3 linked regions of the Elephas maximus indicus genome follow. The protein of the gene in region 3 purifies or fractionates together with the protein of the main gene of each other region. This does not show direct contact. Links are inferred from orthologs where the notes say so. Each region holds a gene or a part of one and is shown on either strand. Other genes may lie near its edges.

Region 1 (10,173 bases), on a different chromosome or scaffold from region 3:
AATTATGTGTACCGACTATGACAGCAAATTAAGTGTTACCTTTAGATTACTCTAAATAATCCCTCAGGCCAAAAGTGAAGCAATACTGAGAAATCAGAAACTACATAACGTAAGGCTTATGAGCCACCAGTTACGTACACACACTGCAAAAGAACCTAAGAAAATCAAACACACTCGGGGGCAGGCGTCTATTTAGTGTTTCGAAGAGGAAAATCAGCAAAGACAACAGCCACTGCTGAAACAACCGACTCAAATACGGAAACCGACACTGCAATAACTACAGCTTCCACAGAGAAGTCCACTCTGGATGTGCAGCTTCATTACTGGTACCCAACTCAACATTTCCGTGGTTGTCCTTTTATTCTTTGTTTAGGGAATCATGGTGATGCTATTAATACCACCCACAAATAAACTCAATTTTAAAACTGAGGTAGCTCTGAGTGCCCCTTATACTTATAAAGAAGGAATTTGGGAGTGAGACAGGTGTGACAAACAAAGATGAAAAAAGCTGAAGAGTATAAGTAAGTTAGAAAGCCTCTAAAGAGCAGTTACGTGTAGAAGAGACAGAAATATTTGAAATCTACTAAGGATACTGACAGCTAAAGAAGGAATTTAATAATTTCGGAATACTTGTAGCCCTTCTCTAAGTACAAAAAGGAGGCCTGGTGGCACATTGGTTAGAGTGCTTGGCTGTCAACCAAAAGGTCAGTGGCTTGATCCTACCAGCCACTCGAGCAGGAGAAAAGACCTGGCAATCCTCTTCTGTAAAGATTTACAGCCTTGGAAACCTATGGGGCATTTCTACTCTGTCCTATAGGGTTGCTATGAGTTGGAATCGACTCACAGGCAGTGGGTTTGGTTTTGGATTTTAAGTACAAAGCTATCTTCGGCAGATTTTATATCATTTTCAGATCAAGCATAAATTTCTGTGCCAGATTACTCCTAGGAGCATTACAATTTCTCCATTCATCTATAACACAAGAACAACAATACAACAAAGAGAAAACTTTATTTTTAGACTTGGAAAATCCTGTGTTTATTTTTCTAAAACAGAAAAAGTCAAACAACTGAACCTACTCTGTTTGGATTTTAGTAAACCTATATTCTTTTCTAATCCTGAGGCCCAACCTCTGCCAGAAGGAAATGAAGAAAAAGTGCTCTGTGCCACGCTGGAAAGTTACAACACCATGCCTCCCTGGGCCTTCTCCTCCAGCACATCCGAGCCTCCTGCTGGTCAAGGCTCTCACTGCCGGAATCATATCATATGACACCTGCCTTATGGTGGGTAGAGGCAGAGGCTGTCAAATGGCATTCGTGTCCAAACTGGTTCAGCGTTTAAACTACTAACTTCTGCGTGTAGTGTTTAAGCAAAGGCGCTTAACCACAAGTACACTCTTAATTACTCAACTAGCATTAAACACTAAATGGAAAGGGGTTTGTAATCCCCTATAAACATTAAGCCTTTACAAAACCCCGTTCCACAATTTGATTTTTCAATAACTTGGTCTCCACACAGGCCATCTCTTTTAGTTGGAAAAATATGAGTTATACTTAAAATGCAGGAAAGCCCTTCCTATAATGTGAATGTGCAGAGATCTGGGTAGAGGTAATAATAAGCAGTTATTTCTGTTCTCAACAATTTCTCAGGTAAGTTTCTATTTTTTTCCCCATTAAATTTTTTTTTAATTGATCGGCCATAATTAACGATATGTTACTGCAAGCAGAAAGAAGCCCTGTGATTAATCCTATCACTTAAATTAAACCGAGATTTTATTCATTAGTTCAGAAAACTGGCCAACTTAAAATAATTTTTTCAAAAGACAAAGCCTGCAATTTAACCCTAAAAATTAACAAGATAAGAATGTAAATTGGTTATAAACTCTGGTCTAAACTCTATGGAAACACGTACATTCAGCTTTTACGGACTAGCCCTACATATGGAGGACAGAGGGATGACTAAGCCCCTGGAGGAGCTCATGGCTGGTCAGGGAAGGTGATCCAGAGCTAAAAGTTTGCAGCATGAGGCTTGTCTACACAACTAAGTATTTAACAAACTCTTACTCAGAATTCAAATCCAGCTCTAATATGACCTCTTCTTATAAATTTCACTGCTTCCTTATGTCTCCTAGCAATCACTCCCTTCTTTGTGCTCTCCCAGTGCTTACTCATCATCCTACAGAATTATTTGCAGATATCTCCTAATCAACTCATTAAATCCTTGAGGGCAGGGACCATTTTTGTTAATTTCCATACTGCTTTTTTAGCAGCTAGCATAGTGCTTGGGACATAGTACTCCACTACCAATGAGTTGATTCTAACTGATGGCAACCCCAAGCGTTACAGAGTAGAGCTGCTCCATATGGTTTTCTTGGTTGTAATCTTTGTGGAGGCAGGTTGCCAGGCCTTTCTTCCACAGTGCTGCTGGGTGCATCTGAACTGCCAACCTTTAGGTTAGTGGTGGAGCACAAACCATTTGTGCAATCCAGGGACCTTTGTGACATAGTAAGCATTCAGATTTTGTTTAGTAAATACAAACTACGGGATGGCACGTAAAAAGGTATGTAAAAAAGGGGGCAGAAGAGGCCACACTACTTTGCCTTTTACCTAGAGAGAAGTGTAAGGCTTCTCAAGGGATATTCATCCTGGTCTTGGAAGCTGAGTGAGACTCCCTGGACAAAGACGGGCACTTACTGAATAGCCTGTGCGAAGGCAGCAGGGGACGGAAGACCAGATGTGTTGGAGGATAGCAAAGTACTCTGAGTACAGCCGATGTAAGCAGACTATGGGAGAGGGGATGCAGGCTGAGGGCAGGAAATAAAGCTGGAAAGATGAAGGGGCTTATACACCAGGTTAAAGGAGTTTTCACTGAATACTCAAGGCTTTGAGGAGCTCTTGAAGCCTTTTAATCCATCCTGGCAGTGATGTGAAGACTCATAGCTTGAGAGTGTTTGGCCGAGTTATGAAAAGCCTAGGTTTTCCAAGGATTTTAGCTACAGATACCTATTACAGCTTTTTTATCCCAGATTACTGTCCCACCCTTTGTTTTCATAAATATATTTCAGTGTAAGCAGTTACTCTAAACTGTATTCAAGTGGCATCACGAGCTACGTATTTAATTGTATAAGCAGCTTTGGGAAAAGGCTATTATTTAAACGCAAAATACGTTCCATTCACCCAGTAGCAGGTGATAAAGACTAATAATTTAAACACCTAATGAAATTCTTTTATCTGTTTTGATTTTTAAAAAGGTGGGGGGAGAAGAATTTTTTAAAGCGCAAGGCAGAAAAGACATTTAAGTTAAATATCCTGAATTCCTTTTTCATCACTGTGCTGAAACATTAAGATTATGGGAAAGCAGCACCCCATCCCAGAGCCAATAAGGTTAGTATCTGAGGGCTCACTTTACCTAGGGGCTTCCCTAAGTGGGTTTAACAACTCTTAAACAGGAAGATCCCATACGGAGAAGGTTCTAAATCAAAGGTCAACACAAATCTCCTGGCCCTTCACGTGCCTGCCCAAGGAAAAGTAACGCCACAGCTTCTTGCTTTTCGACTTTCCCAGGTTTTTAAAAATGTAAGATAAAGCGATTTTTGTGAGCCGACTAGAAGGCACCGACACACTCAGGTTTCTCGGTTGCAGCTCGGCCCTGGACCAGAGAAAAGCATCGGCCCGGTGCAGGGAAAGAGGCAGAGTCCGCTTTCCCCGGGCAGCCGGGCTGGGCGGCAGGCGGCGCGCCCGGCACTGAGGAGGGCGGGTACCCCGGCGCGCAGGGCTTCATGGAGAGTAGGGCTGCAACGCGGACGCGGAGAGGCGGCTGTCACACAGTGAGGCCAGCATCCTCCCCAGGCTCGACAAACAGCCCGGGCCTCCGCGGCTTCTACAGGGCCCCGTTCCCCACGGCGAAAGGGTAGTGACGAGAGGCAGAGGCGCGAAGCTTGTAGAGCAGAAGCGCGGCTGCGCCCGCAGAGTCCCCCAGGACGCGGCTCCCGAGGCGCGGCGCAGGGGCGCTGGCAGCCCAGGGCGGCGCCCCCGCAACCCCACCCCACCCACGGCTGCCTGCCCGCGTGGCCCCCCACCGAGGACTGTGACCCCGGGGCGCCAGGGTGGTAGGAGATGCGGCGGCGTTGCCGGGTCCCCAGCTCCGCCACCCCGGCGATCCCGGAGATAAAAGTTTGCAGCATGCGGCTCGTCTGCAGTGCGAGTCACATCCGCCGCGCCGCCTCCTGCAGCAGCAGCAGCGCTCAGAGAACGAACAAATGAATTGGGGGTGGGGGGGAGAACTGTTGAAGCCGGTAGGCCCCGAAGCCGGTCGCTCGGCCTCCGGGGCGCGCATGCAAGCGAGCCTAGCATCCCGCGCCCCCGCCCACCCCCAGCCGCACCTCCCGCCCGGCCTCTGCGCCCGGCCTGGGCCGGCCCCGCCGCACCCGCTGCACTGACCGATAACCTCCTGCAGCTCGTACGCGTCCCTGCAGATGGGCCAGCCGACGGCCTGCGCCGCCGGGGCCGGGACCGGGGCCGCGGGCGCCGCCGGGGCCGGCGCTGCTGTCGCGGCCGCCGCTGTCACCGGGGCCGCCTGCTGGGGCTGCTGGACGTGCACGGGAGAGCCGCTCGGCTCCGCCATGATGCTGCCGGAGGAGACCGGAGGACGCGTCGGCCGGCGGACGACCTTCCACTTGAAACTTCCCTTCCCTTGTCGCCGACACCTCTCGGCCGGCGCACGCCCTCCCCGCCCGCCGCCGCCGCCGGAGCCAGCCACGAGGGGAGGGAGCGAGGGAGGCCGCGCCGGGCGGAGGGAGGAGGCAGCGCAGGCGGAGGCGGGGAGGGGGGGAGGCGGCGGCCGCCGCGCTCGCCGCGCGCCCCGAGACTCGTGCGCACTGTTCTCTGTCTCTGCGAGGGGAACCGCCGCCCCGCCGCCCTCTCCCGCTCCGGTCGCGGCCGGGGAAGTTTCCACCAAAAGAGAGCAAGGCTGTCTTGTGTTTATTTTCGGGGCCGGCGTCGCTCGCCCTCCACTCCCTGCTTTCTCTGTGCCTTCGCCCCAATCAGTCTCTCCAGAAGACGCCCCCTGGGGACCCCGAGGGCGGAGTCGTTGAACCGTCGCCAGGTTCTCAGATTCAGAAGGCTCCCCCCAACTAAAGAACACCTGAAGTTCATTTACAAGGTAGCGAATGAGACACCCACACTGGCTTTGTTTGTAGGAAGCCAGTTAAAAAATAACCCAAGTTGTAACTTTCCGGTGTTTTTACCTGCCAATATCCCATTCCCACCTTGCCTAATCTAATCGCAGTCTTTCTACTTTTTCTTAGTACGTGCAACAGGATTCCTTAGGCCCCTGGGTGTTCACTGACTCTTTACATTTGTTCAAGCCTGTTGGGTCCCAGGAAGGTGTTGTAAGGGCCTGTGAAGTTAGAATAAGAAATGTGGGAGAGACGTGAACTCTTGCTTTGAAATTCTGTACCTTTAATGACCTGCCAAATTAACCCATTAAGACACTAAGGCCAGATAGCAGGCATTTCTTTTAAAGAGCATGGTTGGTGGAAAAAAAGAATTTACTGCTGTATAAACTGCGTTGAAAAGTTTGGATTAATCGTTGTTTTTAAGACATCCCCAAAATTACCTCATGCTTAAAATTGCTGTTTAACCATAGGTCTTTCTAATTATAGGTGTCATATTTAACATTTTCTCGAATGGCTCTCTGTGTGCTATATATAGTGAAGATGACCAGGATGCACCAGCCTGGCTTTAATCCGAAAGGAAACCGTGAACCAATGGTCATGTTGGTCATTTGGCCAATATTATGTTGTATGGTTCTCATGAAAACGACTACCGAAGAAATGGGTAAGAATTATAAGCGTATATAATGAAGACTCCAAGAAACATTATAAGACTGTATCTCCTGAGTGTATGCTTAAATTTTTCTTGGAAAGGTTATTCAGAAGAAAATCAGGGATTTGTTATGGAGAAAAGTTAATTGTACACTCTAAACTTTGATATAAACTGAAGATAAGTAGACTTCCTATCTTACAGCATTATGGAACAACCGGGACAAAGCGATTACTATGCTCTGGTCTTTGAGCAGAAATTTATGCTGAATTAAGAAAGTACATTCTTTCATGCATGGGTATACAAAAACTATTGATTTTAATGTCTGTCAAGAAACAGACTATAAACAAATAAATTCTAGGCATCTGATGTTTTAAAGGGGGAGCTCTGTATACCAGGAAACCCTGGTGGTATAGTGGTTAAGAGCTGTGGCTGCTAACCAAAAAGTTGCCAGCTCAAACCTACCAGCCACTCCTTGGAAACCCTATGGGGCAGTTCTACTCTGTCCTATAGGGTCGCTACGAGTCTGAATCAACTTGAAGGCAACCAGTACGGTTTGGTTCTCTATACCAAGCCACATCTATTCACCTCTTCAAGTGCTGCTGCCCCATCCCCACCCTCAAAGAACTGCTAAGGACTATTTTTAAAGGAAAACGATTAAATCAATATGACTTCCATTTTGTCACAAGAATTTACTACTTGACTCTCAAACCACAAAATTGGGCCGTGAAGGCCAGGATAGTTCTTGGGTCTGTCAGTTTGTCATACTGTGGTAGCTCAGGTGTTTCTATGACAGTCGAAGCTATGCCACAAATGTCTCAAATACCAGCACGGTCATCCATAGTGGACAGGTTTCAGCCGAACTTCCAGACTAAAACAAATTAGGAAGAAAAGCCTGGATATCTACTTCTGAAAATTAACCAATGAAAACTCTACTGATCACAACAAAATATTGTTCAGTAGAGTGGTGGAAGACAAGCTCCCTAGGTTGAAAGACACTCAAAATACACAGTGACTGCAGCAGTGGACTCAAGCATACCAACGATCTTGACGAGGTCTCAAGACTGGGCAACGTTTTGCTCTGTTGTACACTTGAGTCAGAAGGAACTCAGCTGCAACTAACTAATAGGAAAACATGATGCTGTTAAGATCAATAGCATGGATTTAAATCACACACACAAAAAAGCAACAACTATTCCAGAGTCTCGGACCAGACCTCTATCCCCAGCTGTCCTCCTTCCAAACAGATGATTCAGTGCAGACCAGTCACTTCCACCAGTAAATCAGTTTAAAGAAGATTGTCCACTCTCAGAGTTCTTTGATGTATTTATACATGAAGAACAGAGCATGAATTATATTTTTTAAATTACATGAAAGCATTAGATTCAATTTCTAAGTTAACGTTTCCATAAACAATTGAGTAAAGTTTTATTTAAAATCTAGAAATACATGTATTTAAAGTATTCAACTGATAGGCAATTTTCCTTGAGAATCCATTACTAAGTTTAAACTGAAAGGGGGAGGGAGGATTTTAAAATATAAATAAGGTTTATTCTGGTATACAAAGACACTCAGTCTCACAGACTTTAAAGCGTAGAAACGAAAAATAAGGATCTAAAATTTTTTTAATTGTTTACAACTGCCATCATTATGCCAGGGTTCTTCAACTTCAGCACATTGATATTTTGTGCCAAATAATTCTTTGTTGTGGAGGTATGTCCTGGGCATTGTAAGAGCTTTAGCAGCACCCTTGGCCTCTACACACTTAGATGTCAGTAGCACCCTCCATTCCCAGTCATGACAATCCAATATGTCCCCAAACCAAAAACAAAACCCATTGCCGTCAATACTAACTCTTAGCGACCGTTTAGGGCAGAGTAGAACTGCCCCGCAGCTTTCCAAGGAGTGCCTGGTGGATATGAGCTGCCAACCTTTTGGTTAGTAAACATAGCACTTAACCACTACGCCACCAGGGTTTCCTAAATGTCTGCAGATAGTGCCAACTGTCGGGGGCAGGGGAGGGCCAGACCACTGCTTTTGGTAAACTGAATACACAAAATTGTCATTTTAGAAACAGATTTTAGCAGTGATTATTTGCCGTGCAAAGAGCTTCTGTAGGACTCAGTCATTTATTCATAAACCCTTTGAACACCTAAGGGAGGATGTGTTGGGTTGTGTCCCAGGTATTGGAGAAAGACAGTGCTGGATTCAAATCTTGTTTCCAAAATGTGTTTTAACCTCTAACTTTGAACTTGTTACTTAAACTCTTTGAATCTCAATTCCTTTATTCACAAAATCAACTTAATAATAGCTTGCTCTTGGATTGTTTTAACATAATTTATGTACGAATGGCTGAGCGTAATGTCTGACACATAGTAGATACTCAATAAAATAAAAGCCATCATCAATATCATCATCATTGTTATTTGCCAAAATTTGTAACAAAATGCACAGAACAAAGATAAATAATGTTGACAGTAACAGCCTTTACAGAATGTAAGCTTCTGAGGGCAGGAATTTTGGTTCAGTTTGTTCACTGTTGTATCTCAGTGCCTGGAATAACAACGGGAAAGAGTAGCACTCGGTAATATTTGTTGCATGAATATAACATTTTCAAAAGGTATAAAACATGTTTGTAATCATTGAAATGAATCAGCAATTTCAAGGGCAGATTAGATGGGAGGAAACTGGAGGCGGAGAGCCCTGTTTGGAAGCCATTGCAGTAGTCAAGTTAGAGGAATGTGCTTTTGAATGAAGCCATGACGTTGAGGATAAAGATGAGGGAGTAGACTTGAGAATTATTTAAGGAGTTAAAACAATGGAACTCTATGACACATGTGAATCCTTTGAAAGTCAAATTGGTCCAGTGAATTGAGTAAATGTACTCAAATGCAATTTGTAAAGCTTTTTAGAAATATATCTGTTGAAGGAATGGGGACCTTTTGATTGACAGATGATCTTTCTCCCGTGGCTAACCTATAATTACTGCAAAAGTCACTGCCGTTGCATGGTGGGAAATGGCCAAATATTCATGGGTATCAAGAGAATCTGTCACCGCACTTGCTATCACCAACCCTCTCATACCCACGGATCTAGCACCTCTCTTTGAGTGAAAAGTTGTGGAAGAGCTGGATTTTGATTTTAAAGGTTGCTTTTTTTAAAATATAAGAATTGACCATCTTTTTGAAGCAGAGAGATGGCAAAGCATAGTGGAAAGAGCATGGGCTTAAGTCAGCCATACAAACCCACTGCCGTCGATTCCATTGCGACTCATAATGACCCTATAGGACAGAGTAGAACTGCCCCATAGAGTTTCCAAGGAGCACCCTTTGGTTAGCAGCCCTAGCACTTAACCACTACGCAATCAGGGTCTCCAAGTCAGCCATAGCTGGATTTAAATCCCGGCTCTGCACTTACTAGCTGGTGACCTAAACACTCTGAGCCGCTGTTTTTTAAAAGTAGGGACAACCATCCCGAAATTGTAGGATTGTGTAAGGATTACAGGTGCTGGTGTGTGTAACATGCCTAACCCATAGCACACACTGTGGTAGTACAGGGATGGTTCCAGGGTTTCTGACTGAAGGGGTCACAGGTGGCAGTCGCAAGGGAGGGCAGGATTAGGGGACTTGTTCTTCAGCCAGCCGGCAGCATTCACTTCTTAGGCTGTATGATTATCTGGACAGGCTTTGGCAGTGAGCACTGATGGAAATTAGTCACTCCTTTTTTTTTTTTTTGGAACCACCACTGTTACAAACCCTGGACTACAACTTCCTTTTAATTTTTTTTTTTAATTGCAAACATTCAATATCTGAATGAATTCTCAGCAGAAATGTCAAATATCCATCTGATGAATGTAATCAAGAATATACAATCCTGTCCAACCCTGGAGACCAAGCCATCTCACACATAGCATAATGATAGAGGTGTCATGTGCTTTTCCACTATCACAGCCGACACTATCTATTATCCAGAGTCAGGAACCAGTGTGATTCAATTTTATTAGGTTTAACACAATTTAGTGTTAGGTGTCATTAGTGCCTATTTCCCAGCTACAAACTGAAAGAGAGCTTTAAATCTATTTTAAGCTGAATGATTGTGAGGACACTGCTTTTTAAATTCATCACATATGAATTAAGGAATTAAACTTATAAGAACTATAACTTCCAGATATGTGTTTTCATTTATTTTCCTACGAGCTCTTTAAACTGACTTTCTATTGCATTTTATATTACAGACAAAATTGCTCTGGTGATAGTTACTGCCTTTCATTAATCTTGGATGCTTCTGAACATGATTTAAATTCTGATCAAAAGAGGACTCACTGAAAGTCAGTTCTACCATCTCTACCCATAG
Region 2 (10,438 bases), on a different chromosome or scaffold from region 3:
AACAGACGGGGGTGCAGTAGACACACCCTTCGCCTCCCTCCCACCACCACACACTCAGATGCACTCAGGGAAACTTCAAGCCCCACACAAACCAAAGTCACGGTGGACTGCAGAATTCAGGAGGAAGATGTGTGTCTCACAGGCCCACTCTCCTTCCCCAGACACCTGCTCAGGCTTGTCTTCTCTGGATGCCACCCAGGGCCCCAGGCGGGGACTGGAACACATGTCCCCCATGTCGCCATCACTGCCATCAGCACAAGAGTGTGCCCTGCTGGCACAGCCAGCCATCTGACCACTAGCAGGATTGCACAGCCTCCGTAATGCCAGGATATCTCCTACCCTGGGTCAAACAGCACCCTCCTCACAATTCCATCCATGCCAGGCTGACACTCAGCCAGCCTGTATTCCATGGGCCAGGAGACAGCAGCCAAGCTGCTGCTGGGAAGGGGCGCTTGCTCACAGGCTGGAGGTGTTCTTTTCAGAGTGGCTCCTCAAGGGCTTCCCACTCAAACCAGTTCCCTGGTACCTCTGAAGGCCTGATGTCCACCTGGGGATTATCTGGCCAAAGTACCCTCCAGCTGCCTTAGGCCAATGGCCTAGACTGATGCTGCCACTATGCCACGCACGGGAAGCAAGAGAAGACTGTATCCTTCCAGTGCCTTCCCCTGGCCGCTCTCCGCTCATATAGCCAAGCCTATGCTGCTCAAAAAAGTTCTGCCGAGCTCAGTTGGCCCAAGTCCCCGATGTACTAAAGATGAGGGACCTCTAAGGTCACACAGGGAGTGACAACCAGGGTGGGGGTGACAGTCAGATGGCAGGGGGTTCCTTTAACCTCACAGGCTACAGAGGATGCTGGCACAAAGGACCAACACACACAAAGCTGTATGTAAGCAAGATGGTTTTGGAGTGCAGAAGGAAGCAGTAGCTGCAGTGGAGATCCCCCCATCCCACCAGGCTCAGGATGGGCATGTCCCCTACCTAACCCAGAGACCCGCAACGTTCTGTGAAACCTAAGGTAAACAATCCACTAATGACACAAACAGTAGGAGGAGGTTTTTCAGGGCCCTGGGGCTCCCTGCCAGAAGGGACCGGGGTGGCCAGTAGCCAGACTCATTGTTGGCGGTGCCTCTAATCCCTCATGACTGTGTTCCAAGGGCCCATAAACCCTGGCCCCCAACCAATTAGTCCAGCATTCCCACCAGCTCGTCCAACCCAGCCACAGCCTGTGCAGATGGTGGCAACGTTCCACCTTCTCTCAGGAAGGCTCCCCAATTCTTGGCTTCCCCAGTTCAAGGTCATCTCATTTCTCAATGACATGCCAGTGAAAACCGGTGCACTGTGGATAGGAGACACGGGTTCCAGCTCCAGGATTGTTAACAACCCACGATGGGACTCTGGGCAGGCCCACCCCGCTCCCTGGGGCTCAAGCTTCCCATCAACACATGTGGTGGAGGTGGTGGGCTCCATCGCTTAGGTCTCTGACTTTCATTTTTGTAATTTTAGGTGCAATGGGGGGTTTACAGAGCCCATCAGAGGTTCTGAGGGAGCCCAGGGTTTTCACTCAAACTGACCAGAAACATTTTCCTCATCAAACTCCTGGTACTTTGCTGAAACTTGTTCAGACTTGACATAAACGTTTCTTGAGAACCTACAGGCTCCAGGTGCTTTTGAGAGACACTAGGAAAACATGAAGCAGTAAGAGAACTGCCCTCAAGCAACTGAGGCATGAAGAGTGTCTCCAAATTTGCTCACAGTGAAACAGCTAGGAATTCAACCCCCAGGATGCCTGATCCAGGCAGATTTCTCTCCCAAGGCTTCAGGCCCAGTAAAGTCTAGCGGTTACTGGGTCTGGAGGTGAAGAAATACTCTGGTGGCACAGTGTTTAAGGGCTCGGCTAACCAAAAGTTTCGCAGTTTGAATTCACCAGCAGCTCCTTGGAAACTGCGGCGCAGCTCTATCCAGTCCTATAGGGTCGCAATGAGTCAGAATTGACTCAATAGCAATGAGTTTGGTTTTATTTATTTATTTATTTTGGAGGTGAAGAAGACCACTGAAACCCCTTCTAGGCACAGGGAAGAGCCAGGACACAGGACTGGATGGCTGAGTTGACCTTGTTCTGAAATACCTGCTTCTGGTATACCTTCTAACAGCTTTCTCAGTCCCAAGCATTGAGCAGACAGGAGATGGCCAGATGGCAACCTCCACAACACACATGCACAGACAGCTCAGTAGCACTGTTCCCTGAGACCACTAGATCCTTCCAAAGTTGCCCTTCTCTTGGTCCTTTTGTACAGACCTGCACCAAACCAGGTTAACTGGACTGCAGTGCAGCGCTAGAGCTGAGGGTTCTGCCCTCCAGGGCCTGCCTCCTCCCAAAGTCCAGCTAGTCAGGTCCCAGCTTGTCTCCCTGCAGCCCCAGATGACAGGCTTTCGGAGGGATGCTCTGGGAGCCACTCCTTCCTACAGGTGTCAGCAGGGTCCACGATCATCAATCTGGTCTTCCCACCTTCGGACCAACCCGGGTTTCGGAGAAGCTGCTTACCCCGGGGAGGCTGCTGGGCAGCAGTGAAGCGGTTTGTTCCCTGTTCCTCTTCCCCCACCACTCCTCCCGGCTCTGGACCGCTGCCACGCTGACCTCCCCTCCCCCAAGAATGGCGGTGAGCTGGGCGGTGGGGGTGGGCAGAATCCACTGATGATCTCCCATCTCCAAAGGGGTGCTGGGAAGCCAAGCAGGGCGTGTCCTGGGCCTTTCTCTGCCCAGCACCAGGCTTCACAGCCTCTCTGTGTGAGGCACCTCTGTACCATCCCCCATATCTGCCGCGCATTGGGAACCCTCATTCTATCGCCCAGACCCCTGAGCCCAAAAGAGGCTAACACACGGCGGTGAAGGGCTGCGGGTCTAGAACCTTCTGTGCCCAGTCGGATGTAAGTCTGGGGAGGTAGGCGCCCTCTTCCCCCATAGCCTGTGTCTGCTCTTTCCACAGGAGGCAAGTGTCTGCCTTTCCTCGCCCCACCCGCTGCGGCCGTCTGGCCCCAGGGCCGGGACGTGCCCTAACGCACGGTTCCGGGCAGGGTCTGCAGGGAACCCCTCCCGCCAGCCAGGTAGGGGGCGGCCAGACCCGACCCCGCCCCGTTCTCCAAAGAGGGGCGTCTGTCTCCCCGCATCCCCGCCCGCGCCCTGCCACCTGCGCTGTCGCCCGCAGCCGGTGCCGCAGTGCGAGCCAGCCAGCGAGCCCGGCGCTTTCACGCCTTGGCCGGCGCCCCCGAGCGAGCCGCCGCCCTCCGGCCTCCCCGCCGCGCCGCACCTGCACTCACTCACACCCCGCGGCGCGCCGCTAGCCCCCCACCGCAGACCCCACCCTCACCCCCACCTCTACGGCCCTAGGGTCTCCTCCGTCCCCATCCTTGGCTCTTCCCCAGCCGGCTCCGCCCGAGCCGGCCCCGATCTCCCCCTCTCCATCCCTCTCCGCCAGGGCCGGGGGCGGGGGTGGGGGTCCCCGAGGGATGGATGATTTCGTAGCAGGGGTCGAGTCGGCGCCAAGCCAAGAGAATAAGCCGGGTACTTACCGCTCTGCTCCCCCAGGAACACCAACTTGAATTTTCTCAGTGGGTTCCCAAAATCTCCCCCTGCGGACATGATGCTGGCAGCCGAGGCCGGGCGAGGAGGAGGAGGAGGAGGAAGAAGCGCAGAAGCAGGGAGGAAAGGAGGAAGGCGAGGGGAGGCGGCCGGCGGTGCGGGAGCCGGAGGGGGAAGGGCTGGCTGCGCGCGTCCCTGACTCCCCAGCTGAGTCCCGGGCCGGGGCTGCGGCTGCGTGTCCGGCGGCAGCTGCGGCGGCGGCAGCGCAGGAAGAGGAGGAGGGACGCTGGGGCTGGGCTGCCGAGGACTGCGCTTGCTGCGGTGCGAGGGGCGCGCACTGGACGCCCGAGGCGCAGCGCGGACAGCGGGGCGCGGGTGGAGCCGGGCGCAGAGACGGCGCGCGGGGCGGAGGAGCGCTCTCCCGAGCGGTGCGAGTCTGCCCTCCTCCTGCCTCCCTCCACCGGCGCCTGCGCTCTGCGCGCTCCCCAGCCTCTGATGTCATGCGGGGCCCGCTGCGCTGCGGGGCCGGGGGGCTTACACCCGCCCACCCGGAGCCGGCAGCCGAGCGGGAGAGAGCCGTCTCGCAGCGTCTGCGAGAGTCCCCCAGATCGGACCGTCTCTTGCTGTCTCTACGCCTGTCTTCTCCATTCTAATTCTTTTTCGAACCCAGAAAAAATGACATGAAATTGTCAGGGGACGTTTGTTTCTGGTCTTTTAAACCCAGATGTCATTCCCCTCCTCCACCTCCCGAGACATCGATGCACGGCGCAGCCGGTCCGAGAGGGCGGAAAGGAAAGGAGGTGGCTTGAGAGCCAGGATGTGGTAGACGTTTGGAGTGGGAAGACGTACCTGGTTCAGATGGGGCTCGATGGGGCTCGACTGTACCTGGTTCAGATGGGGCTCGACTGTCGCCCCCTGTAGCCTCCAGCCCGTCTTCATTGTCTAGGCCCAGACCCTTCATCTCGGTGGCTTCGTGGGGTCCATAGGTGTCCCCGCAGATCTGAACAGTGAGAGAAGAGGCGGTAATATTGGGGGTGCCTACCTCAAATGAATCATTCTTAGGAATAATTTTGTCCTAAATCCGAACTCTTGCCCAACGGGAAAAAAGGAGCAATGACGCCCCAAATGACAGCATGGCCATCTCCAGGACAGTGGTCTGGATTTTTTGACCCTGGGTCCACCAGCCTGACAATGCCACTCCTGCCCTGGCAGTTATGTGCATCTGGGCAATGAGCTCCTGGAGGACAGGACTGAGACCTCCCGGTCGCCTTTATATTTGTTTGGCCCATTGCAGGCACACGAAGTGGGTGTGAATGGGTGAGAAGATTAGATGCCAAAGGCTGGAAGAGCTCCTAAGATAGCCTGATCACAAGGCATTCTGGTTAATTAAGGTTTCACAAAGCCATCTCTTATTGTCCTGCCACCTTGCAGTCTCTTTTATGACTGTTTAGTAAACATTTATTTGGGATTGTAATTCAGATGTCTGGGACCAAGTTTGTGTGTGTGTGCAGGAAGGGAGAGAGAGGAACTGAGATTGAAGTGAGAAGCAAGCTCTCACCTGTGGAGGGGACATTTGATTTACAGGGCATGCTTGGGATTATCTCCTTGTTTTGTTCACCTAGAGTCTCTCGTTGCTAATTAAAAACTTAGACAGCAAGTTCCACAAAAGCAGTGGTTGAGTCTCCAGTTGTAGATGCCAAGGAATTAGCTTAGAGCTTGCACACAGTAAGAGCTTAATAAATAATTGTTGAATGCCGGACAGAATGTCTAAAACCCGAATCAGAACAACTGTTCTATTTCTCATAGTCACCTTTGGTTTGGAGCCCCAGGGTTTGTAGGTCATCACCCTACGATATCTGCCCCGCTGTGCCTGGCGTCGGATCCCTGGCAGCACAGTGGTTAAGGTTTGGCTGCTAACCAAAAGGTCGGTAGTTCAAATCATTGGAAACCCTATCGGGCAGTTCTACTCTGTCCTATAGAGTCACTATGAGTAGGAATTGACTAGATGGCAACGGGTTTGGTTTTTTGGTTTTGGTGCCCAGCATCAGGCTCAGGGTAACTCTCCAAACTCCCAAACCTCTGTTCTGGGTATCCTGCTGTCTCAGGAGATCATGTCCAGCATGAGGCTGAATGAAGCTGTAGAAGGAGGTGAGACTCCCAAGTCACAGTCCATCCCGTGGTACCTCCACAGAAGGGCCAAGGGAATTATTGGTCAAGTCAGTCAACCAGGCAGCGTTCCTCTGACACGCACCATCTGTCTTCCTATACCCTCTCATCCTGTCCTGAGAAAATCATCTGTGGTAAGACAAGGCAGCTGAGATGACTCTGTGCACAATGGAACAAAATCCTGCCCAGGTCCTCATGATCAGCTGTGAACTGGACCATTGTGATCCACAGGGTTTTCACTGGCTGAAGTTTAGAAGTAGATCTCCTAGCCTGTCTTAGTCTGGAAGCTCTGCTGAAACCTGTTCAGCGTCATAGCGACTAGTGAGCCTCCACTGACAGACAGATGGTGGGTGAGCATAAGGTGCACTGACCAGGAACTGAATCTGGGTCCCCAGTATAGAAGGCAAGAATTCTGCCACTAAACCAACCACCGCCCCCCAACAAGACAAGGCTGCTGAGGAGAGACAGAAAGAGCACTGTCTTTTAGGTAAGCTTTGGCATGTTGTGTACCTTCTCTGATCCTTCACACACAAGGTGGTGTGGCAGTAGATGAGAGAGGGGAGGGGTACCAGCATTTCTGGGCACCTCTAGGCCAGAGTCAGCCCATGGGCTTATCCAACCCAGATGGCATGACTATGGGCCAGGATGCATGGTGGGAATCTGTCAGTCATGATTCTTCCAATTCATATGACAAAAGCCCAACTCCAAATACTGAATGCACAGCGGCATGGGCTGGTTCATGCAGCTGGAGCAGATATGTTGCTCACAGAACGTGGGCATTGTGCTGTGGCAGTCGGAGCCTCAGGGACTCCAAGTTTGCTCCGGCCTCCTTTTCCCTCCCCTTGGCCCTTCTCCATCTTTTATCACTGTTTTGTCTCCTTTTGTTTTGGGTCTTGTCTTTTACCTGCTCTAGAACAGACAGGCTTTCTCCGGGCAGCAGAAAATGTGACTACTGTGACACTCAGCTTGGCAACCCCACTGGAGAAAATTCCTTCCACCTCGGCTGCCATGAGTCGGAATTGACTCCACGGCAGTGGGTTTTTTTTTTTTTTTTTGGCATCTTTCTGTTCCATTTTTTAAATTATGTAAAGCTTCCTAGTAAGAGTATGTATGTAAGTGATTTAAAAAAAAAAAAAAAAGGCCTACCTATAACAATGCCCATGTATGCTCCATCCAGCTGGAGAAGTTGAACGGTTACAATATTTTTGAGGCTTCCTTGGATTTCCCTCTACTCTACCTCCTTCCCTTCCTCCCCCAGGCAGAAATGCAGAACCCTGGCTTTTCTCGGAGTTTGATCACATTTGGATGTGTCCTTCAACAATACCTTGTTTTGTATCTTTTGGACTTTATACAAGGTGTCAAGGAGCCCTAGTGGAGCAGTGGTTAAGGTTGGCAGTTTGAATCCACCAGTGGCTCCTTGGAAACCCTATGGGGCAGCTCTACTGTGTCCTATAGGACCTCTATGAGTCAGAATTGACTTGACTCCAATGGGTTTGTTTTTTTTTTAAGGTATCAAACTGTATATTTTCTCTTATGACTTGCTTTTTTCTTAGCATTATATTCCTGGGCATTATGTTAATGCATATAGTAGCAGTTCTTTCACTTTCACTGCTGTTTAGTCTTCCACCGTTTACCCCAGCTTACGCAATCGTTTGCAGTAAATTATGTCCAGTTTTTAAATTTTGAAATAATTTTGGACACACATAGAGGTTGCAAAAATAGTACAAAGAGATCTAGTGTATCCTCACCCAGTTGCCACTGGTAATAAGATCTTACATAACCATAGCAAAACCAGGGATTTCACATGAAAAATGCATCCAGTTTCGTCTCTGCCAATACAAGCAATGCCATTATGAATATCGTTTACATGTTCCCTGATGCACCCGTGAAAAGTTTTTCTAAGCTATGTATCAAGTAGATAAGTCGTGGAGTAGAACCAAGTGTATGTTTAATTTTGTTAGGTAATGCCAAACTTTTCCAAAGAAGCTTGTCAGGTCCTATAGCTCTCCACCCTCACCAGCATTTGGTGTTGTCGCTATTTTTATTTGTTAGCCATTCTGATAGATGTGTAGTGATATCTCATTGTGGTTTGAATTTGCATTCCTCTAATAGCTAATGAGGAGCCCTGGTGGCGCAGTGGTTTAAGAGCTTGGTTGCTAACCAAAAGGTCAGCAGTTTCAACCCACCAGCCGCTCCTTGGAAACCCTGTGGAGCAGCTCTACTCCACAGGTTGCTATGAGTCAGAATTGACTTGACGGCAGTGGGTTTGGTTTGGTTTTTAAAGGCTAATGATAATATCTTTATATGTGCTTATTTGCCGTTTGTATGTCCTCTTTCGTGAAATGTGTTTTGCCCATATTCTAATTGGATTGGTTTTTTTTATTGTTGAGCTTTGAGAATTCTTCATATATTCTAGATACCAGTCCTTTGTCTGATATGTGGTTTGCAAATATTTTCTCCCGCTCTGTAACTTGTTTTTTCATCTTCTTTTCAGAGTCTTTTGCAGTGCAAAAGTTTTAATTTTGATGAAGTCCAATTCATTGATTTTTTTTTCTTTTATGGATTGCGCTTTTGGTGTCATGTCTAAGAATTCTTTACTAAGCCCTTGGTCCTGAGGATTTTTTTCCTAATTTTTTTTTTTATTTTTACATTTTACATTTAGGTTCATGATTCATTTTAAGTTATTTTTGTGGGAAGTATAAGCGTTAGGTGGAGGTGTTCTGTTTTGCCTGTGGATGTTCAGTTGCTTTGGCACCATTTGTTGAAAAGGCTATTTTTTCTCCATTAAACTGCTTTTGCACGTTGGTCAAAAATCAGTTGGGCGTATTTGTGTGGGTCTACTTCTGGTTTCTCTGTTCACTTCCACTGGCCTGTGTGCCGTTTGCCCCACCAATACCAGACAGGCTTGATTTCTGTAGCTATATAAATCTTGAAAGCATGTACATTGATTCCTTCAACTTTGTTCTTCTTGGCATTTCCACATACATTTTAGAATAATCTTGTATATATCTACAAAAAATCTTCCTGAATTTGGTGGGAATTGTGTTAAGCCTGTATATCAATTTGGAGAGAATTGACATCTTTACTATGCTAAGACTCCCAATCCATGAACATGGTTTGTCTCCCAATTTACTGAGATCTTCTTTAATTTCTTTCATCAGTGTTATATAATTTTTAACATGAGAGTCCTGTACATGATTTGTTAGACTAACACTAATGTGTTTCAATTTTTGAGCAGTTGTAGATGATATTGCATCTTAAATTTTGGTGTCCGCATGTTCATTGCTAGCATACAAAAATAATTTTTTTGTACATTTATCTTATATCCTGTGACCTTGCTGAACTCACTTCTTAGTTACAGGATTTTTGGTAGATTCCTTGGGATTTTCTACACAGTCATCAGAAAGTAGGGACAGTTTCATTTCTTCCAGTCTGCATGGCTTTTATTTCCTTTTCTTACCTTTTCACACTGGCTAGAACTTCTAGCACTATGTTGAATAAGAGTGGACATCTTTGCCTTCTTCCTGAAAGTAGGAGGAAAGCATTCAGTCTTTCCCCAACCATTAAGTCTGATGATCACTATAGGTGTTTTATAGATGCTCCTTATCCAGTTGAGGAAGTTCTCCTCTATTCTGATTTTTCTAAGAGTTTTTATCATGTTATGAGTGTTGAATTTTGTCGATACTTTTTCTGCATCAATTTATGAGCATGCGTTTATTCTTCTTTAACTTGTTAATAAAGAAGATTACATTGATTGATTTTGGAATATTGAACCAGCTTTGCATACCTGCGATAAACTCCACCTCGCCATTGTGTATAATTCTTTTTATATACCCTTGAATTCTATTTGCTCATGTTTTGTTAAGAATTTTTCTCGTCTAAATTCATGAGGGATATTGGCCTGTAGTTTTGTTTTTTTTGGTACTGTCTTCCTCTGGTTTTGGTATCAGGGTAATACTAAAAAAGCCCACTGCTGTTGAGATGATTCTAACTGATAGAAACCCTGTACGACAGAGTAGAACTGCCGCATAGGTTTCAAAGACTGTAACCTCTACGGAAGCAGACTGCCACATTTTTCTCCCACGGAGTAAGTGGCTGGTGGGTTTGAACTGCTGACCTTTGGGTCAGCAGCTGAGTACTTAACCACCACACCGTCAGGCCTCCCTGGGGTAATAACTAGCTTCACGAAATGAACTGAGAAATTTTCCCTCTTGTTCTGTTTTCTGGAACAGATTGTGTAGAAATGAAGTTAATTCTCCTTTAAGCGTTTGTTAGAATTCTCCAGTGAGACCATCTGGATCTGGAGATTTGTTTTGGGGGAGTTTTAAAATTAAGAATTCAATTTTATTTTTAGTTATAGGACTAGTCCACATTATTTCATATTGGGTGAGTTGTATTTTTTGATTAATTGTTCCATCTCATTTAAGTTGTCAAATTCATGTGTATAGAGTTGTTCATACGACAAAACCAAACCAAACACATTGCCGTTGAGTCAATTCCGAGTCATAATGACCCTATAGGGCGGAGTAGAACCACCCCATTGGGTTTCCAAGGAGTGGCTCGTGGATTCGAACTGCCAACCTTTTGGTTAGCAGCTAAACTCTTAACCACTATGCCACCAGGGCTTGAGAGTTGTTCATGTTCTTTGTTGTTAGGTGCCAGCGAGTTGGTTCTGACTCATAATGACCCTATGCA
Region 3 (10,074 bases):
GCCAAATTCAGAAGAGGAAGTGGGACAAGGGATATTATTGCTGACGTCAGATGGATCTTGGCTGAAAGCAGGGAATAACAAAAAGATGTTTACTTGTGTCTTACTGACTGCAAAGGAATTTGTGTGTATCATAACAAAGCACAGATAACACTGAGAAGAATAAGAATTCCAGGACACTTAATTGTGCTCATTAGAACCTGTACATAGACTGAGAGGCAGTTATTAAAACAGAACAAGGGGATAATGCAGGTTTAAAATGAGGAAGGTTGTGCATCAGGGTTGCATCCTTTCACCGTACTTAATTTAATCTATATGATGAGCAAATAATCCAAGAAGCTGGACCATACGAAGAAGAAAGAAGCATGAGGACTGGAGGAAGACTCATTAACAACCTATGATATGCAGATAACACAACCTTGCTTACTCAAAGTGAAGAGGACTTGAAGCACTTACCAATGAAAATCAAAGATTACACAGCCTTCAGTGAGGTTTATACCTTAACATTAAAAAAAAAACTCACAACTGGACCAATAAGCAATATCATGATAAACAGAGATAACACTGAAGTTGTCAAGGATTTCATTTTACTTGGATCTACAATCAATGCCCATGGAAGCAGCAGTCAAGAAATCAAATGACATATTATGTCGGGGAAATCTGGTGCAAAAGGCCTCTTTAAAGTGTTAAAAAGCAAAGATGTCACCTTGAGGACTAAGGTACGCCTGACACAAGCCATGGTATTTGCAATTGCCTCAGATTCATGTGAAAGCTGGACAATGAATAAGGAAGACTAAAGAAGAACTGATCCACTTGAATACTGATGCCGAAGAATACTGAATATACCATGGACTGCCAGAAGAATGAACAAATCTGTCTTAGAAGAAGTACAGCTACAATGCTCCTTCAAAGTGAGGGCCATGAGACTTCATCTTGCTTACTTTGGACATGTTATCAGGAGGGACCATTCCCTGGAGGACAACATGCTTGGTAAAGCAGAAGGTCAGCAAAAAAGATGAAGACAATGAGACGGACTGGACCAGTGGCTGCAACAATGAGTAACGATTATGAGGATGGTACAGGACCAGGCAGTGTTTCTTTCTGTTGTGTGTGGGATCACTATGAGTTGGAACCAACTTGATGGCACCTAACACCACCACCATACAGGAAAGAAAAAAAAGTTTATCACCTGAGAAGTCTTTGTAACTATTTTTATCTTTGAAAGAAACTAAATCAGGAGCATATTTACAACCACACTTACAACTCAGGTAGCTACTAATTTATTGAGAGGAACTTAAAGTAGCCAGCAAGCTGTCAAAGATTTCAGTGTTATATTCTGGGTTCCAAATCCATTAATACTTTAGTATAATTGGATGTTTTCAGCTGGATCTTGCCTTTTATGTTTATTTTAGAAAAAGAGCTGAACTGTAGCTGATCTTCTACAGTCAATGGCCAGAAACAATGACCTGTGTTTATAAAACTGTATACAACTTGTGTGTATAAGCCTAAGTACCAATGTTATCTTGTCTTCCTCCCCCTAAACAAAAATCCTCCAAATACAAAACCAAAAAGTTAAAGCCAGGCTTTAAAACTAGGTTTGTCTTCCTCTAAAGCCACTGACGTAAAAAAAAAAAAAATTTGAGGTAGGAAACATGAATTCTTGTTAACCTAAGATAGGGTAACTTATTTATCCACTTGATGCTTTGGTACCACAAATTTGGTACCAGCAATTTTATAACAGTTCTCTCTCAGGGTGAACTGTAGACAAAAGTACAGGTGCAAAAACAATTGAAGGCAAAGTTAAAGCAGTATAAAAAAAAGTTGGGGGAAAGCTAGTAAAGTTGGACAGCGTGTGTATGTGTGTGTGTGTGTGTGTGTATGGAGAGTGGTAAATAGAGGGGATGTAAGAAATAGTCAAGTACAAAGAAATAACACAAGGAGATACCACTACACACCCACCAAGGTGGCTAAAATAAAGACACCACCACCAAATTTGGTGAAGATGCACAACAGGAACTCTCAGACATTGTCAATGAAGGTGTAACTTGGTCTCAGCCACTTTGGAAATGGGTCTGGCAGTCCCCATTCAAAAAAAGCTAAACCCTTTGCAGTCTTGTCAATTCCAACTCATAGCGACCCTACAGGACACAGCAGAACTGCCCCATAGGGTTTCCAAAGTGTGGCTGGTGGATTTGAACTGCCAACCCCTTGATTAGCAGCTAAGCTCTTACTCACTGAGCCACCAGGGCTCCCCAATCCAGCAATTCCGCCCCTAGGTATTTACTCCCCAAAATGAAAACATATGTCCACAAAAAAAGACATGTACTAAAATGTTCACAGTTTATTTATAATATCCAAAACCTGTAAATATCCCAGGTGAGCATCTGCAGTAGAATGAGTAAGCAAATCGTAATACACTCATATACAGAAACAGCACCCAGGATAGGTGCAGGACAATGGGACAAGTACCTCACTTTACTTGGACATCCTGACTCCTTCTGGGGAAAGCATATTTCTTATTTGGGATATTTTTTCTTTTTAAATTCCAACTTTTACTGCAGGAAATTGTTTTCCTTTGGGTGCTTTGGCCAATGACTGTGTCAAAGCCATGCTAACATTTTTATCCCTAAACTGTTACCAGCTACAGACTGCTGAAGACAGAGGGCTTCTCTTCCAGTGTGATTTTGATCGTGACCATTTTCAAAGCACGTGAACTGGGATTGGTTGCTGGGTTGGGCCACCATGAACTCATACATCCACCACAGAGAAATACTAACACTTGGTTCCAAGAGGAGCCTGCAATACGTCATCAGTCGTTCAAGTTTGTCATTCACGGGAATCCAGGACAGCAAAGAGCTGAACAAGACCTGCTGTCTGAACAGGGGAACCTGGACCCTGGGATTCTTTTGCGCTTGCATTCCTTACTTCTACGGATGAACTGTGAGCATGATTTTTGCAAAGTGAATTGTAGGTGTGCGCCCCATGACACCTGCCTGCCCAAGAAGTGTTCCATGTGTAAATGCTGGCATGACTGGCTTCAGTGCTTTGCTCAGACATTTTTACCTGGTTGTGATAATCATGTGATAGATGAGCACCTCATGGCTTCCAGGACTCCAGAATTAATGTCATCTGCATGCACCACTCTTATGCTAGTTGGCATCTGCCTTTCTACACAGTTCTACTACTAAACATTTGCCTTTTCCTGGAAATACAAGTTTAGGTCTCATGGAAATTTCATGGCCAGTAAAGGCTGCTGCTCTAATGTTGTTAACTGACAGATGATCACTTGCTAGTTGCCTTGAAATGATGAATACACTTAAATAATGGATCCCTAACACTTCCTTAATGTGCCAACTACTTCTATCCTCTGCTTTGCTCTCCCTCCCAAAAAGCTGCATTTTCAAAAAAGTTGGCCATATCTACATTCTGTCCAAATCCTGTTCCTTGATACATCTAACTCTAAAAAGAGGTTCATATCAATGTTTTCTTTTAAACATATGAACTCTATCTTTAGATAATCTTAAGATGGAACTGATGATAAAGTTTTGAGGTCAGTCAGAATCAATAAAGAGTATCTTTGGAACAGGAAAGAAAGCATCTTTAATGGGAGGGAGGGGGAATGAGTGCTGGCGTAATAGAAATACGTGTGTACCAGGGAAAGAGGGTGGAAAAGAGAGAGCAAACAATAGACAAAGAAGAGTGGGAAAAATAAGACTGATTACTCGATTGATTAGGTAGCTAGAGAAGCAAGTTAAAACGCTAAATTAAAGGGCAAGTTTCCATCTTCTATAGAAAGTGATATAAGACAAGCTCTGTAAGACATGCCCCTTTTTCCTCAAGGTATTATAAAGAGAATGAAGCGTCCTAAGGAAAAAACTGTATGTAAATTTCCCCAACAAGATTGGTAATTTATATTTTGTCCACACAAGCCAAGTATTTTATCCGTTGTAGAAGGGAAACTGTTCACAATAAACTAGGTAATAAAACCATATATGCTGTAAAGCCCATTTTTAAAATATGTTGTGTATATGTCACTATGAGTTGAAATCAACTTGATGGCAATGGTTTTTTTAATATGTTTATGCACATTAAAAATTGGAAATAATATTGACCAAAAAAAGAAATACAACTCCAGGATAAAAAGGAATAAACTAATGTTTCATGCAACATGGATGAACCTCAAAAACATTATGGTAACTGAAAGATGCCTTAAACAAAAGAGTACATAATGTATTATATATATTATCCCATTGATATGAATGAGGTTCTAGAATGGGCTAAACTGATAGTGCAAAAAAAACAAAAGAAAACCAGGACGGTGGTTTCCTGTTGTTGTTGTTGTGCGCTGTCAAGTCAGTTCCGACTCATAGCAACGCTATAGTACAGAGTAGAACTGCCCCATAGGGTTTCCTAGGCTGGAATCTTCACGGGGGCAGATCACCAAGTCCTTTCTCCTGATGGGTTTGAACTAGCAACCTTTTGATTAGCAGCTGACCACTTAACCACTGTGTCACCAAAGCTCCTTTGGTTGCTTCTACTCCTTAAAAAGCCCATTGCTGTCGAGTCGATTCCACCTCATGGCAGCCCTAATGGACAGAGTAGAACTGCCCCATAGGGTTTTTAAGGAGCTGCTAGCGTGTTCAAACTGCTGACTTTTTGGTTAGCAGCTGAGCTCTTAACCACTGAGCCACCAGATGGCCTCTAGAGGGATGGAAGGGCCCCTGGGTGGTACAAGTGGTTTGAGCTTGACTGCTAACCTAAAGGTTGGCAGTTCAAACCCACCCAGCTATGCCATGGACTAGAGGCCTGATGATCTGCTTCAGCTGAGAGTTCTACTCTGAAATACACAGGGTTGCCATGAGAAAGAATCAGCTTGATAGCAGTGGGTCAGCTAGGGGGATGCAGGCGGAGATTAGCTGGGAAGGGACATGAAATAACTTTCTGCAGTGATGATAATGTTTTATATCTTGATAGGATTTAGGTTTCCACAGGTGTATATATTTGTCAAAATAGCCAATGTCCACTTAAAACGTGTGCATTTCATTGTATGAAAATTTTACCTCAAAATAAAAATAGCTGCAAACAAATACTGAATTCTAATGAACATATTTTTTGAAGTATTTGGGAAAAGTGAACTGATATCTGCAATTTACCTTAAAATACATAAAAACAGGATAGACAGATGGATAGATACATGACAGGACAATTAAAATAAGACATTTATGGTAGAATCTGGATGGTGGGTATATGGATGTTCACTGTAAAAGTCTTTCAACTTTCTGTATGTTTAAAAATTTTTGTTATACAGTGTTGAAAAAATACAGTGAACTGACACCATTATGAAAATGAACACATACTTGACAAAGGACTTGTACTTAGAATATACAAAAAAATAAAGAATCGTACAACTCAGTAATAAAAAGGCGACAGTGAAACTTATTAATAAAAGTTAAAATAAGTTCATAAAAATTTTTGAACAAGTATGTTTATAGTAGCTGTATTCATAACAGCTCCAAACTGGAAACAGCCCAGGTATCCATCGATAAGATAGATTAAAAAACCTGTAGTATAGTCACACAATGGAATATTACTCAACAACAAACAGCGACAAATGACTGATACATTCAACAACATACATGAATCTCAAAATAATTATGCATTATATATTATACATTAATGATATGGATATTGAAGTGTTTAGATGGATTGATGGTATGTGATAAGGCAAATGCAGCAAAATATTAACTACAGAATCTAGGAGTGAAGATATGGGTGTTCACTATACAATTTTTCCAAGTTTTCTATACATTTGAAATTTTTCATAACAAAACACTGGGAAAAAATACAATGAACTTGAGTCCAAATACCTAAAGATTTTTAGATTTGAGAATAAAATAAATCACTTAAGAGTCAAATTCCATTTTATATGAAATTTGGGGGGTTGCATAAATGTTTTTCTTGTACTTGGAGTCTAATCTTGAATGCTGTTTAAAATGAGTGGGGACAGAGTTGAAATTTTACAGTAAAAAAAATTATTTTTAAGTAGTAAGATATAAGAGCAGATGAGGACAAAGGGGGCATTTACAAATGGTATTACTCAGTGTTTTATAAAAAAAAATTATTTTTTATTATACATTAGGCCAAATATTATAAATATTATATTGGTTTTACCAACTAGTTTCAGTGAAATAATTTGTGACTCTAATATGTTTGTTAAAAAAAAAGTTAGTATGTCCATTTTTCAGAAGAACGGGTCTATTTTGGGTAGTATTTTGAAAGTACGACCTACTATGCTACATTAACCAATTATATATTTTTAATCACAGCTCATAACTTATGGTAACCAGCATTTTGTCTTATTCAACCAATTTATTAAAACAGGAAAAAGACAAGTTAGATTTCGTGAAAGGACTGAAACAACTAAGGGAAAGTCAGTGCGAAATTTTGAACATAAACATTCTCTATCAGATTGTAACACAGTTATACTATAGCACGAAAAATCACTGCCACATTTAAAGCAAGTCGTATGTATTTTCTCTTGGTTTTCAGAAACTGCAAACTGCATCATGCAATTTAAACCTATACAAATAATCTAGAGCCACACGATTTCATAGCTAAAATCAGTCTTAAAAAAGACCTAATAACCATTAATGCTAAAAATGGATCCATGGTGCAAGAAAACTTCTATAATAAATGGACAGTAGTTGAAATTCCTGGAATTAAAAACCGCATGTATTTTGAATGCTTGAGATGTACCGAATGTCATCCTCGAGAGTATCCTGTATACATGATGTTAAGGTTTTAGTAATAAAGTCAACAGTATTCTTTTTTAAAAAACGGAATTAAAGCTTTATCAAAGGTACTAGTATATTAATAAAAAACTGGAAAAGTATAAAGTAGAACACATTCCACGAGCATACAAAATGCAGCCTTATTTCATCTTATCTGTTTATACTTTTTCACCGAATTTCCACGGATATTACTATCACACACACACACACACACACACACACACGATGAGAATTTACGTAAGTACCTTATGAGAGAGACATACATAGAAAAAGTTCAACAGGAATACTAAGGAAAGAGCAAATAATTCTGAGTTGGGAACAGACTGAAAATAATAAAGACCTCTCCTAAACTCAATCCAATGCCTGTAGTTTAAAGACACCATTCAAAGCTCATTCACTATCGAGATCTAGCCATACTAGCGGAAACCTCTGAAATTATAACCAATTAAGACTTGCATGCCCACAGTATTTGTTACTACAGGCAGTCCCTGGATTACGAACATCCAATTTACCTACAACCCGTAGTTACAGGCCAACCCCCAGAAGGCCTGTTATACTGAAAATCCAAGGTATGTACAACGGTTCGTAATAACAAATGGGCACTACTTTTCAACACGCATCAAACATTGTTATTATTACTGTATTTTTATGTTAAAGATGTTTTAGTGTATCTGGAAGTGTTTCTTTAATTTTTTTTTTATGCGTAGAAAGGTACACTATATACTAAGACAAACATCTGACTGACGTTGGATACTATTAACTGTTCTGACTTAGGTACATATTTGACTTAGATAGATTTAGGTACAGATGTTGTTAGTAATCCAGGGACTGCCTGTAATGGTGTTTTTAAAGAAATAGTAAAGAAGGAAGAAATTACTTCTAGGTAGTTGCTTTTAATGTAGTGAATTATTACTTTAAAATATTTAGGATGGATATCCTTATCGAATAATTGTTAACCACTGGCCAGGAACTAAATACAAGTTAAAAAACTAACCACAAATGGATAATAAACAAAATGTGGTATATATATATTTTTATTATTAAACAGACATGAAATTGCTCCATAAAACTGCTATGCACGTTTCTAAAAACTCCCCATTTCTGAACTTATCTCCTCAGAAACAGGTAATAAATAGTTCATGGGCCTGCAACGTCTGCCATACTACACTCTGAATATCTCTGTGTTAGAGACTGCTGTAAATATTTTAGAAGAAAACACTGAGTTTACTACTTAAATTTAGAGTTACTGCTTTTAGCTGGGGCCTGAAAAGTATACTGACCCTCTTTCTCAACTAGAAAATGTATATACATTTTCCTTATTTACTATATTCAATAGACATTTTTTTCTCTCTCATACTAGGACGGTAAACATTAGTTTAAAAATAATAAAATGACCACAAATTCTAAATTTTGCCTTACTGCATGGCAGTTATTGAAATAATTAAATGAATGTGTCAATTAGTTTGGAGACCAACTATTGTCTATGAAAACAGGCTTTTATAAAATGCTATCAATGGTAAATATATAATCAACTTTGCGACAAACAACTGAAAGATAGTAAATATGTAAAAGACACTGCTTTGTAGAGGATTTATAATATTGTAGAATAAGGAAGGCAAAGAGTTCTACAAGTTAAAGCACCAGGAAAATCTCATACTCTGATGAGGTTGAAAGAATAATGCATTTGTTCAATATATATTTGACTGTCCCTTTTATGCCAGGAAAGAGGAATGCAATGATGAACAAAACATCATTCCTGCCCTAACGGAGCTCTCAGTCTTGGTATTCAATTAATTGTATAATAAATAAATCATATAGTCAATAAAATATACTAATTATATAATAAAAGTCAATATAAAACAAGGACAATAAGTACAATACAGCTTAAGTCCAGAAAGAAGCCCGAGAGCATAACATGCCACCACCTTTCCCAGCTACTTCTTCAGGAACCTGAAGTTTCAAGAATTCACTAGAGGAAAGAATGTAGTAGGGCAGTTGATGGCTAGCTAACTTGATAGATACTTCAGCCCTTTTGGCTGCTGCCCCAACTATTAAAGGGGGCATTAACATTCGAGTAGTCAGAGCCTTCAGCTTCCACTGTTACTGTTTTCACCACACTGCTACCCATCTCTTTAGTAACAATATAATATACAGGGCTGCCCATCTCTTTCATTAGTGTAAAGTCATTACAGCCTAGGTAAGACAGGACCTAAGAATTACCTGCCAAAGATGTACCACTGGTAACTATGAACCTGGACTATTCAGTAACTAGATTAAAAATTATTAGATTATAGCTCAATTGGCATAACAGTTTAAAAAGAAAATGTTCTACGTTCTACTTTGGTAAGTAGCATCTGGGGTCTTAAAAGCCTGTGAACGGTCATGTAGGATACTCTACTGGTCTCACCCTTTTGGGAGCAAGGGAGAATGAAGAAAACTAAAGACACAAGGGAAAGATTAGCCCAAAGGACTAATGGACTACATCTACCACGGCCTCCACCAGACTGAGTCCAGTACAACTAGATGGTGCCTGGCTACCACCACTGACTGCTCTGACAGGGATCACAATAGAGGGTCCCGGACAGAGCTGGAGAAAAACGTAGAACAAAATTCTAACTCAAAAAGAAAGACCAGACTTGTTGACCTGCCAGAGACTGGAGAAACCCTGAGACCATGGCCACCGGGCATCCTTTCAGCTCAGTAATGAAATCACTCCTGAGGTTCACCATTCAGCCAGACTGGACAAGCCCATTAAATAAAAGAAGACTAAAGAGGAACACCAGCCCAGGGACAAGGACTAAAAGGCAGGAGGGGACAGGAAAGCTGGTAACGAGGTTGAGAAGGGAGAGTGTTGACATGTCGTGTGGCTGTTAACCAATGTTATAAAACAATATGTGTACTAACTGATAAGAAACTAGTTTGTTCTATAAACCTTCATCTGAAGAACAATAAAAAAAATTACTAGATTGCAATTGGCTTACAGTCAACACTATAAGCAGTACATAGAAAATAAAACTGACATTAAACATCATATTGTCAGAACTAAGGACATGTTTTCAAAAACTTAAGTACAATTAAAACACAACCCCAAACAGAATTACCTTGTAAATTTAACTTTCACCTCAGAGAACAAGTGTTTGTAAATCACTGCTTTCTTCCTCCTCTGTAACTAAATTCCATTTTAAAATAGATCTACTGAGACTATAATCTAAATAGGAGTCCTCATTCACTAACTTTAAGACATATGGACTAATGTAACTAGACCAATAGCTGTTCGTGTAACGCA

The links.
Region 1: the proteins of SLC12A6 (region 3) and STK39 purify together in Homo sapiens (affinity purification with mass spectrometry; 3 studies listed by BioGRID and IntAct, with this or other methods). This does not show direct contact. The link is inferred for Elephas maximus indicus from reciprocal best matches to the Homo sapiens genes SLC12A6 and STK39.
Region 2: the proteins of SLC12A6 (region 3) and RAB6B purify together in Homo sapiens (affinity purification with mass spectrometry; 4 studies listed by BioGRID and IntAct, with this or other methods). This does not show direct contact. The link is inferred for Elephas maximus indicus from reciprocal best matches to the Homo sapiens genes SLC12A6 and RAB6B.

The regions. Positions count from the first base shown.
Region 1 is NC_064824.1:66,433,395-66,443,567, forward strand, and holds the start of STK39 (STE20/SPS1-related proline-alanine-rich protein kinase), read right to left. Parts: upstream 4,723-10,173; 5' UTR 4,622-4,722; coding exon 4,438-4,621; intron 1-4,437. UniProt on the Homo sapiens protein: Effector serine/threonine-protein kinase component of the WNK-SPAK/OSR1 kinase cascade, which is involved in various processes, such as ion transport, response to hypertonic stress and blood pressure.
Region 2 is NC_064844.1:45,849,060-45,859,497, reverse strand, and holds the start of RAB6B (ras-related protein Rab-6B), read right to left. Parts: upstream 3,967-10,438; 5' UTR 3,638-3,966; coding exon 3,568-3,637; intron 1-3,567. UniProt on the Homo sapiens protein: The small GTPases Rab are key regulators of intracellular membrane trafficking, from the formation of transport vesicles to their fusion with membranes. Rabs cycle between active GTP-bound and inactive GDP-bound states.
Region 3 is NC_064828.1:23,952,744-23,962,817, forward strand, and holds the start of SLC12A6 (solute carrier family 12 member 6), read right to left. Parts: upstream 3,987-10,074; 5' UTR 1-3,986.